3 linked regions of the Canis lupus familiaris genome follow. The protein of the gene in region 1 binds, or shares a complex with, the protein of each later gene. Links are inferred from orthologs where the notes say so. Each region holds a gene or a part of one and is shown in the gene's direction. Other genes may lie near its edges.

Region 1 (3,986 bases):
CTGGGGGTTTAATGGTAGAAGTGAGAGGCTTGTCTCCTTTTCCACCAAAGTCCTTTGGCTATTTATTCCTGTTAAAGAAACTGGTGGATTCAATGCCAGGTTCTCCCTGCGGTGCTGCTGCTGAGAATTAGTGTAAACCGGGAAGCCAGCAGAGCTGGCTTATTGTTTGCCAGCAGAGCCTTTGTCTGTCAGACTAATCTGCAACCCATCTTTGGGCGTGCAGGATGACTGTTGATTATACACCATGTCTAACATTTTTTGGGGGGCGGGGGAAGGGGGTTGCTTGGATATAGTGGGTTTATATTAAGAGAAATCCCTTCTTGGGCAGCTGGGTGGCTCAGAGGCTCAGCGTCTGCCTTCAGCTCAGGTTGTGATCCAGGGGATCCTGGGATGGAGCCTGCTTCTCCCTCTGCCTGTCTCTTGCTTCTCTCTTGTCTCTCATGAATAGATAAATAATTAAAAAAAATAAAAGCGTAACCCCTTATGCGTGCTCTACACAATTACTTCATTTAACTTTCACAACAATCTCCTATGATCTAGGTACCCATTTTAAAGCTGAGGAAAACTGAGGCTCAAAGAGGGTCTAATTAGTAACCTGGCCGGGGTCGCGTATTGGGTTAACTAGAGCACGACTGCGTCTCCACAGCTCAGGGCTCTTCAGCCACCTCTGTTCTAACTATAAATTCCACATGTTCACATTGTCCCCGAATAAGTTTAAGATTTTCTTTTTTTTTTTTTTTAGTTTTTTTTTTTTTTTTTTTTTAAGATTTTATTTTATTCATGATAGAGAGGCAGCAGAGGGAGAAGCAGGCTCCGTGCAGGGAGCCGGTTGCGGGACTCGACCCCGGGTCTCCAGGGTCACGCCCCGGGCCGAAGGCGGCGCTGAGCCCCCCAGGGATCCCCTACTTGGCGATTTGCACGACTGATTTCACGTGGCCCTGGAAGTCGGTTCACGCCAGGAACCACGAGGTCCGGAGACCGTGGGAGGGAAGGGCGCCCGTGGAGACCGGAAGCTCAAGGAAAAGCTTTAAAAAACTATTTTTGGAAAACCCGCGTCCCGGGGACCAGGCGGCGCCCACCCGCCCGCCCGCCCGCCGCCCGCCGCCCGCCGCGGCCCGCGGGGCAGCCTGGGGAGAGAGCCCGCCTCCTGACCCATAAGGCCCTGGGCCGGAAGCTTCGCCCTCTCTTCCTGTTCTCCACCATGGCGGTGAGTAGCTGAGGCCCTGCTTTGCTTCTCTTCATCCGCCTCCATCCGCCTTCATCCGAGGCGGGAGCTGCCTCGTCCGCGGCCGGAGAAGGGAGCCCGTAAGGCTCGCCGTGGCGGAACTGGCAGAGCCATGCGGGCCGAGGCCGCGGAGCCGAGCCCTGCCCCCTCCACTCCCGCTCCCCTCCCGCTCCTCAGCCGGCTGGGGGCGGCCGCCGGGAGGGCGAGCGGAGCGCGGCGCGTCAGCTGCGGGGAGGGCGACGGAGCGAACGGAGGGGCTGGACCTGTTCCCCGTCCCGGGGACTTGAGGCTTGCCGGGTGCTTAGGGAGCCGCAGCCCGCCCCTCCGCTCGAGGAGGCCGCCTGCCCTCTGCCCCCCGGGCTGCTTCCGAAAGGAATGGGGGACGTCGCCCAACCACGCGCTTCCTGTTTCCTCAGCGGCGTTTAAATCCGATTTTCTTGCCCGTCGGCTTTGTAGCGGGGACGCGCGCTCCGACACCTTACGGGGGTGAGCCCCTTGGGGTTCGAACTCCCGCTACCTGCCCCAAGTTTCTGTTCGTCCATTCCTGGCGCGGAGGGGGAGCCCAGCTCCCGAGCTGGTGCACAGACACCGCGATGCTTTGCAAGCCCGTAAGGCTGTCGTTAGGAACCGGGATGAGCAGAACTAGGTAGGCGGTGTCTACAGATGTGGGACTCGGAGCTGTGGCGGGGTGGCGTGTTGACTGCTGCGCTTCCCTCGTTGCAGCAGGATCAAGGTGAAAAGGAGAACCCCATGCGGGAGCTTCGCATCCGCAAACTCTGCCTCAACATCTGTGTGGGGGAGAGTGGAGACAGACTGACCCGCGCGGCCAAGGTGCTGGAGCAGCTCACGGGCCAGACCCCAGTGTTCTCCAAAGGTCAGTGGTGGCCGTCAGGGGAGAGAACATCCCTGCATGTTCTTTTCTAATTTACCTGGTATACAGCCTCTTCAGTGCCCGTTTTGAAAGTGACAGTTGATGCCCCTTAAAAAGCATCACCATCCTGAGCTACCCAAGAAGTATTTTCCTTTGTTTTATTTAATTTTATTTATTCATGAGAGACACAGAGAGGCAGAGGGAGAAGCTGGCTCCATGCAGGGACCTGATGTGGGACTCGATCCTGGGTCTCCAGGATCACTGCCTGGGCCGAAGGCAGACGCCAAACTGCTGAGCTACCCAGGGATCCCAAAGTATTTTCCTTTCAAGACGGGTTTGGTTTTGGAATACCAGGTCTTTAAGTTAGCAGAGCTTCAGCCAGGGCCAGCCTAAGTAGAGATTTTTCCGGGTAAAGTTAGAAACATTAGGAATGCACTAGGTGATATTTGGCTTGAATGACTCACTGAGAATTTATAGGCTACATGGAGAAGGGCTCTGTGCCTAGGCCAACTGGGTTCAAATCCTGGCCCCATCATTTGCGGGTCTGGCCTCAGCCTTTCTGGGTCTCAGCTTCCTTATTTGCCTAAATGAGATGATAATAAGATTGTGAAAAATAAAATAGATTTTATGAAGTGCCTGCTACATACCAAGCCCAGCGTGGACATTAGCATCGTTAAGTTTCTTTGCTTTAGGATAATGCAGTATGGCACATTGTTGGGTTTAGATCCTGCCTTTTGTTACCAACTGTGATTTGGGGCAAGTTAACCTCCCAGAACCTCATCTATAACAGGATAACATTAGAGAATTATCAATAATGTTTTGTTTTCTTTAGAATACAGTGACCATATTCCTTTCTAGTGGCCTCTTCTGGCTGTGAACTTGGCCCGTCCTGAGACTTAGATGTGACTTTGAGCTCTTAATTGCTTAAGTATGATTGAATGACTTGGAAGTTGAAAAATCTGTTTTCTGTGCTATGGATGAAACCAGATGTAGGTGACACTGGTAGGAATGCCAGCACTTAGGATGTGGGTGGATATTTAATGTGTCTTAGAATTGTGGAGATGATGTTCTAGGGAAGAGGTGAGTGCAGTGGGAGTGTGATACCTGACTCCTTGTTTTCCCCTCCTGCAGCTAGGTACACGGTTAGATCCTTTGGTATCAGGAGAAATGAAAAGATTGCTGTCCACTGCACAGTCCGTGGGGCCAAAGCAGAAGAAATCCTGGAGAAAGGTCTAAAGGTGAGGCTGATCCCCTCATGGGATAATAAAGAGCACCAGCTTATGTGTTAACAACTAGATAATTACAGTGGCAGTGGTTATACTTTGTACACTGTCTTTGGTCCCTTGATATATTTTTTTAATTTGAAATTTTTTTGAACCTCTAAAGGGTGTTTCCTGCACCCAACAAGGTTTTAAACTTTATTCTTGAATGATTTCTCTGGGTTTTTCAATGCCTTTTAAATATTGGGAAAGCTCTATGAACTGCTTCTTCTTTTCTTTTTTTTTTTTTTAGCTCTAGAAACTCCTATCGTGGGTTGTGATTTGGTGTCGTGGGGAAATGAGATTTTTGTTCATGATCAAATTATATCGAATTGTATCTCAGGGTGCTGAGTGATGAGGACTAAACTAATAATTTGGGGGGATTTGAATTGACGAGGGATATGATTGCTGCATTTGTCTCCTTAGGTGCGAGAGTATGAGTTAAGAAAAAATAACTTCTCCGATACTGGAAACTTTGGTTTTGGGATCCAGGAGCACATCGATCTGGGGATCAAATATGACCCAAGCATTGGTATCTACGGCCTGGACTTCTATGTGGTATGAATATTTAGTCTTTTCTACTCCTGGTCTGTGAGAAGAGTGGAATCTGCTACTCCTTTATTTTGTGTGT
Region 2 (2,865 bases), on another chromosome or scaffold:
GATACTAATCTTGTTAGGAGTTCAGTTTTATAAATACCATTTATTTGGAGGTATTGAAAATGTGGATGCAGAAGTACATGAATTACAACAGAGTCAAAGGGTTACTGCCACCATATGCTTTGAATCAGCTTTTAGGAAAGATGCCCTGATATCACCAACTTGAGCTTCTAAAAATATTTTCCCCCACAGTGGCCCTGAGATAGGCAAATTCCCCCATTATGCAGAGTGGCCTAAGGGCTCTTGTTTTGGCCTTTTCCCCTCAAGTCCCATATGAATATTCATGTTATCTTTTACTGTTTGTTGTTGTTAACACTTCTGCTTTTTATATATCCTAGGTTGATATTTGTTTTGTTTTTGCCTTGTTCGGTTTGGTATAACTAACTGTCTGATACGGCATATTTATCATTAAGACTTCTTAAAGCGAGTAGGTGCACCTCCCAATGGGTGGACTGTCTGCATGTCATGCTTTGGGGCCCAAAGGGCTGTTAATGAGCATCTGAACACTCACTTCTGCTTCCTGGAGTTTGTTGTTCCTTGGTATTTCTTACTGTGCTTTTACTCTCTCTCATGTCATTTGTTGCCTCTCTCACATTCCACCTTTAGTGTGAAAAGTTTGATCTTTTATAAGCATTGTTATTCATTAAATTCTTTTTTTTCCATCTTGAGATCTGGCCACTATAACAAATTGAGTCAGCTCAAATCTTCAGGTCTTTGAGCTGTTCTTGTGGTATCACTCACAAAAAGAATTTGTTAGTTTCCCCTCCTCCTGACTGTGTCCCTCATCTATTTCCACATTCAGAGCTATTTGGACGTATGGAATCTAGAAAGTTGTGGTTTTGTTATATTAAGATTTTAAAGTTCATTCCAATCTATAGAGATCAGTAGGTGTCTGTACTATGGACAAAAGTAGATTCTGAATGGGAGTCTTAGAGAAATGAGAATTTGTTAATTATGTAAATGTAATATTTCAAAGGCCCGGTTTGAAATTGTTTTTATAATTATGTAAATCTATAAATAAGATGAAGAAATCAAATCAAAGGATTCCATTTCTGGGGTGCCTGGTTGGCTCAGTTGATTAAGCATCTGCCTTTGGCTCAGGTCATGATCTACATCCAGGTCCTGGAATCAAGCCTTGTGTCCTCATCTTTGGGCTCCCTGCTGAGCAGGGAGCCTGCTTCTTCCTCACCCCCTATCATGCTCATCTCACTTTCTGTTTCTCAACAATATATATATATTTTGACCTTTTTTTTGTACTTCATACAGGTTGCTGCTGAAGAAATCCGGTTGTAGAACACCAAGGATTGAATTGGAAGAGATGGGGCCCTCGTTGGATCTGGTTCTGAGGAGGACACGTCTGGCTTCAGATGATCTTTATAAATTATCTATGAAAATGCCAAAAGCCCTCAAGGTTTATAACTTGCATATTGTTGCCATATTTATTTGTAAATTCCACTCTTCTTTCCAAAAAGGGTTTGTAGCATAGTACAGTAAAGGACAGACAGAAAGAGATCAATAATGGAGATAAAATTAGACTCTCAGAGCAAAGAAAAGGAGGAAGCAGCAAGTAAGCCAACCATAAAGGATAATAAGAGAGTTGTAGAAACCACGCGTTAGCTGTGGTTGAGAGCTTTCTGGTAGCAAGACTGTCAGTTTTCAGCAAGAAAGAGAATTGTTTGAGGCATTGTGGAGATTGGGAATTTAGAGCACAGGCTGTGTAAACCATACTGGGATAAAATGTATTTTGACTTCTGAATGGTTCTTAAAAACAAGTAGAAATGGCATCTCTGGAATGCCCATAAAGATCGAAATGATAGTCACAATTCCTTAAGCTAAACACAGGAAATTCTCTCAGTGCATGACAATGGTTAACATAGTCTATAGTGTTGTTGTCCGAAGTGTGGTCTGACAGTTTACCTGAGAATTCTTAGAAATGCTGAATCTCAGGTCCTACTCTAGACTTGTTGAATTATAACATGCATTTTAACAAGATCCTCAAGTCATCTGTATGTATTTGAGAAGAAAGGTCTCTAGAATAGACTATATTCTTGAATAGGTGCTCACTAGTGGGAATTGCTAGTAACATAGTTGTACACTAGATTTTTACAAGGCTATGATAGTAGATACTATTATATATATTTATATACATCTATATATTCTTATTTCACAGCCAAAGAAGAAGAAAAATGTCTCCCATGATACTTTTGGTACAACTTATGGAAGGATTCATATGCAGAAGCAAGACCTAAGCAAACTACAAACCAGGAAAATGAAGGGGTTGAAGAAGCGACCTGCAGAAAGGATAACAGAAGACCAGGAGAAAAAATCAAAGAGAATTAAAAAAAATTGATAGAGGGATCCCTGGGTGGCGCAGCGGTTTGGCGCCTGCCTTTGGCCCAGGGCGCGATCCTGGAGACCCGGGATCGAATCCCACGTCGGGCTCCCGGTGCATGGAGCCTGCTTCTCCCTCTGCCTGTGTCTGCCTCTCTCTCTCTCTGTGACTATCATAAATAAATAAAAATTAAAAAAAAAATTGATAGAATTAGCCAATAATGTTAATTGTAGTCTGTTTTCTTTTTTTTTATTTTTTTTAATTTTTAATTTTTTAATTTTTATTTATTTATGATAGTCACAGAGAGAGAGAGAGAGAGAGAGGCAGAGACATAGGCAGAGGGAGAAGCAGGCTCCATGCACCGGGAGCCCGACGTGGGATTCGATCCTGGGTCTCCAGGATCGCGCCCTGGGCCAAAGGCAGGCGCCAAACTGCTGCGCCACCCAGGGATCCCTGTAGTCTGTTTTCTTAAGAGAGTTATTAATCATCGGTCATCTCTAAGTTTCTTACAAGATTTTATTGTATATTTTTATAAC
Region 3 (3,520 bases), about 11 Mb from region 1:
GTAGAAGGAACAGTAGGCTAGACTTTAGGAACCACCACTAACAAAATGTGTGATCTTTGGATAGATCACTTCACCTTTTGGGGCCTGGATGTCCTTATGTATAGGGTGAGGAATAGAAGTAAATGATTTCTAAGATCTCTCCTGGCTCCAGCCTCGTAAAGGAAACTGACATTGCAGGTAAGGGATTGGCTAAAATGTTCTGTGATAGAAATAAAAATACAGAAAGCCAGTTTTGTTTATGTGTATTGAATTTGAGTGGGCATCGGTTTCTTCATCTATAAAAATGGCGGGTGTTTGACTCCAATTCTTGGGTTCTTTTATAAAGCCTAATTTATCTTTTCATGAATTTCTATGGTTGATTTCTTAATGTTCAAATGTGAATAGTAAAACTTTTTTTTCCCCCTTCAATTTAGTGAATGCAGTAGTAGAGCAGTATCTATATTCAACAAAGAAGGGTGTTTGGAGATTGTATTAAAGTATTTAAGTAGGTTTTCCACCAATGTTGACCTGGCTATTTCAGTAGGTAAGTGAAGAAAAAGTGATGATTTATTAAGTATGTGTGGCCTTATTCAAAAATTTTTATTCCAACACAGCATGTTTATTCTACAGAAGTGATTTTTTTCCCCTCATTATATGTAAATGTGTAACTGAGTTCTGTTTGTTCTGAATCTTTTAAAATCTGTGATTAATACTTACATAATTTTCCTGCTCTTCACTCTGAAAGGGAGGAAGGTAATTATGTGAGCAGGTGCGGTTTCTAGTATATTACCATCCTTAGAAGGCTTTATTAATTCTTGAAGCATTCATCTCCCATTTACTGAGAAACAGTAACCCACAACTACCTGGCCTCTGAGCCAAAGTTAATTGGAATCTAGACTTATTTAAATGTCTTGTTTTGTTTTTGTTTTTTTTTTTTTTTTAATTTTTATTTATTTATGATAGTCACACAGAGAGAGAGAGAGAGGCAGAGACACAGGCAGAGGGAGGAGCAGGCTCCATGCACCGGGAGCCCGACGTGGGATTCGATCCCGGGTCTCCAGGATCGCGCCCTGGGCCAAAGGCAGGCGCCAAACCGCTGTGCCACCCAGGGATCCCTATTTAAATGTCTTGTACCACTGTCTCATACTCCCAGCAGAAAACGGATAACCTGTGCTTTTTTTTTTTTTTTTTTTTTTTTTTTTGAGAGGAACATAAGTGATTGAAATTTCACATAGGCCTGCTTCCCTTCTATGGGAGAGGGGAAGTAGAGTCTGGCAGCTTCAGCTGCCTTGACTCCCTCACGTTTTCTCTGTGTGGTATGGAGCATAGGGAGCCATAGTGGGGAACCCTTGTCCATTTGGAGAGACAGACTGGAGGCTGGGTGGCTCAGCAGAACTCTGGGGAGAGTGGAGAAATCATTGATGAAAAACATTTCTTTTCTTCCCATTATAATGGCCAGGCATCCAGCTGTCCTTTTATTTAATTATGCATTTCTCCTGGCATGGACTAAGTGTATTCCCTTTACTGATGCTTCTCTTGACTCTAATATATACTTTTAAGGGAACAGGAGAAAAAAACAGTGGAATGAATACTACTGAGAAAAATTGAAAAATCAGTTTCTCAAAATGAAATCTTTGGCAAAAGGGCGATTTATGAATAAATGTGGATTTTAAAAACAGTTGAACTAGGAAATTGGTAGGTGGCTTTTAATCTCAGAAGACGGTTTTTCTTTACAATTAAGGACATTCACAAAAGTTAGTTAATAGCTTTTATTTTTTATTTAAAGATTTTATTTATTCATTCATGAAAGACAGAGAGAGGCAGAGACATAGGTAGAGGGAGAAGCAGGCTCCATGCAGGAAGCTGGATGTGGCACTCTGATCCCGAGACTCTGGGATCAAGCCCTGAGCCAAAGGCAGATGCTCAACTGCTGAGCCATGCAGGCATCCCAGTTAATAGCTTTTAAAAGAAAAACCTCACTTCTGTTTTTGTATCTTTAGTCTTGTAGATTTATTTAAAATTTATTTTTCTCTAATAAAAAAAAGGATTAAAGTAATTTTGCATTGTATAATGTTTTCTTTCTGCATTTTGCTAGATTCATGAGTTTTTATTTTTTATTTTTTTATTTTTATTTTATTTTTTTTTGATTCATGAGTTTTTAAACAAGTGTCAAATTACTTTGGGTTGAAAATCAAGGTTTACATACAGTAAAGTGAACTTCTGAGATTCTGTTGTATATATTAACATGGCTTTCTTAGGTCTTGTCTTTATGGTAGCAACCATAGTTTCTCTTGGCTTTTTGCTAAAGTGAATTTAATCAGTCTCTTAATGAAAAAAATTACATTTGGATATATGCGTGTATGTGGATTTGTATACAAATGCATTTGGGGAACTAAACTAGATCACAGCAGTAGCATGTATTTTGACTAATTTGGGTGGGCATGGATCAGCTGTGAAATTTTGAGACTGGAAAGAAATGGATTTGTTTGGAATACACTAAGAAAAACACATTTGGGCTTGGTTCCTCTTGTGTTTTAGAGATTTTTCTGTCAAAGTTGTAAGGCAATACCAGTTGTTTTGATACTTTCAGTTAGTTATTTCTGATCTGCAAAGTGTAATCCATGGTCTTGTTTTAATGCAAGGAAGGAGCTAAGCACTGAAGAGATCATAGCCATCTCTTCATTTACTCATAGTTTTATGTAAAATACTTTTTTTTCTTAAAGGAATACTGCTTCACCAGAAATAGCCCTAACTTTTAAGATCATACTGAATTTAAAGGAAGCCAGAATGTACCCAAGCCTGCTAAGTGTTGTCCCTGTGCTGGCCTTTGGCCCCCAGACTCTTTGTTACTAGTCCCTGATACATACAGAAATTGAGGAGAAACCTTTATAAATGTTCATTAGTAATTCCACATTGTCACAACATCTAAGAGCCTTTTAAGTTGTATTTTGTAAAAGAATAATTCTGTAAAGAATTAGAAATTAAAAAGAAAAGAAAAAATCTTTCATTACACTGATAGTCTGAGGAGCCACATTTGCATGTACCGTCCTTTAAGTAAAACATACCTATTTTACAAAAGCCACCTGTGTCTGAAGAAGTTATAAACATACAAATGTTTAGTTGGAACTAGAGGGTATCATGCTAAGTGAAATAAGTCAGTCAGAGAAAGACAGGTACTATATGATCTTATTCATAAGTGGAATTTAAGAAACAAAACAGATGAGCATAGAGGAAGGGAAAGAAAAAATAAGATAAAAACAGAGAGGGAGGCAAACCATTAAAGACTATTTACTGTAGGGAACAAACTGAGAGTTGCTGGAGGGACAGTGGGTGTGGAGGATGAGGTAATTGGGTGATGGGCATTAAGGAGGGTACGTGGTGGAATGAGCCCTGCCTGGGTTGAATACTATATGCAGCTGATGAATCACTAAATTCTACCACTGAAACTAATAATACAGTATATTTTAACTAAATTGAATTTGAATACAAAATTTTTAAAAAGTTGCAAATGTTTTCTGATGAGTTAAATTGTTGTAAATTA

Evidence for each region.
Region 2: RPL11 (region 1) and RPF2 share a complex: the UniProt entries of both Homo sapiens proteins name them as parts of the hexameric 5S RNP precursor complex. The link is inferred for Canis lupus familiaris from reciprocal best matches to the Homo sapiens genes RPL11 and RPF2.
Region 3: RPL11 (region 1) and HEATR3 share a complex: the UniProt entries of both Homo sapiens proteins name them as parts of the hexameric 5S RNP precursor complex. The link is inferred for Canis lupus familiaris from reciprocal best matches to the Homo sapiens genes RPL11 and HEATR3.

What each region holds. Positions count from the first base shown.
Region 1 is NC_049223.1:75,176,903-75,180,888, reverse strand, and holds the start of RPL11 (60S ribosomal protein L11), read left to right. Parts: upstream 1-1,178; 5' UTR 1,179-1,201; coding exon 1,202-1,207; exon of another isoform or gene 1,208-1,347; intron 1,348-1,948; coding exon 1,949-2,099; intron 2,100-3,227; coding exon 3,228-3,334; intron 3,335-3,781; coding exon 3,782-3,913; intron 3,914-3,986.
Region 2 is NC_049233.1:67,908,575-67,911,439, forward strand, and holds the end of RPF2 (ribosome production factor 2 homolog), read left to right. Parts: intron 1-1,263; coding exon 1,264-1,408; intron 1,409-2,167; coding exon 2,168-2,347; 3' UTR 2,348-2,351; downstream 2,352-2,865. UniProt on the Homo sapiens protein: Involved in ribosomal large subunit assembly. May regulate the localization of the 5S RNP/5S ribonucleoprotein particle to the nucleolus.
Region 3 is NC_049223.1:64,485,104-64,488,623, reverse strand, and holds part of HEATR3 (HEAT repeat-containing protein 3), read left to right. Parts: intron 1-413; coding exon 414-523; intron 524-3,520. UniProt on the Homo sapiens protein: Plays a role in ribosome biogenesis and in nuclear import of the 60S ribosomal protein L5/large ribosomal subunit protein uL18 (RPL5). Required for proper erythrocyte maturation.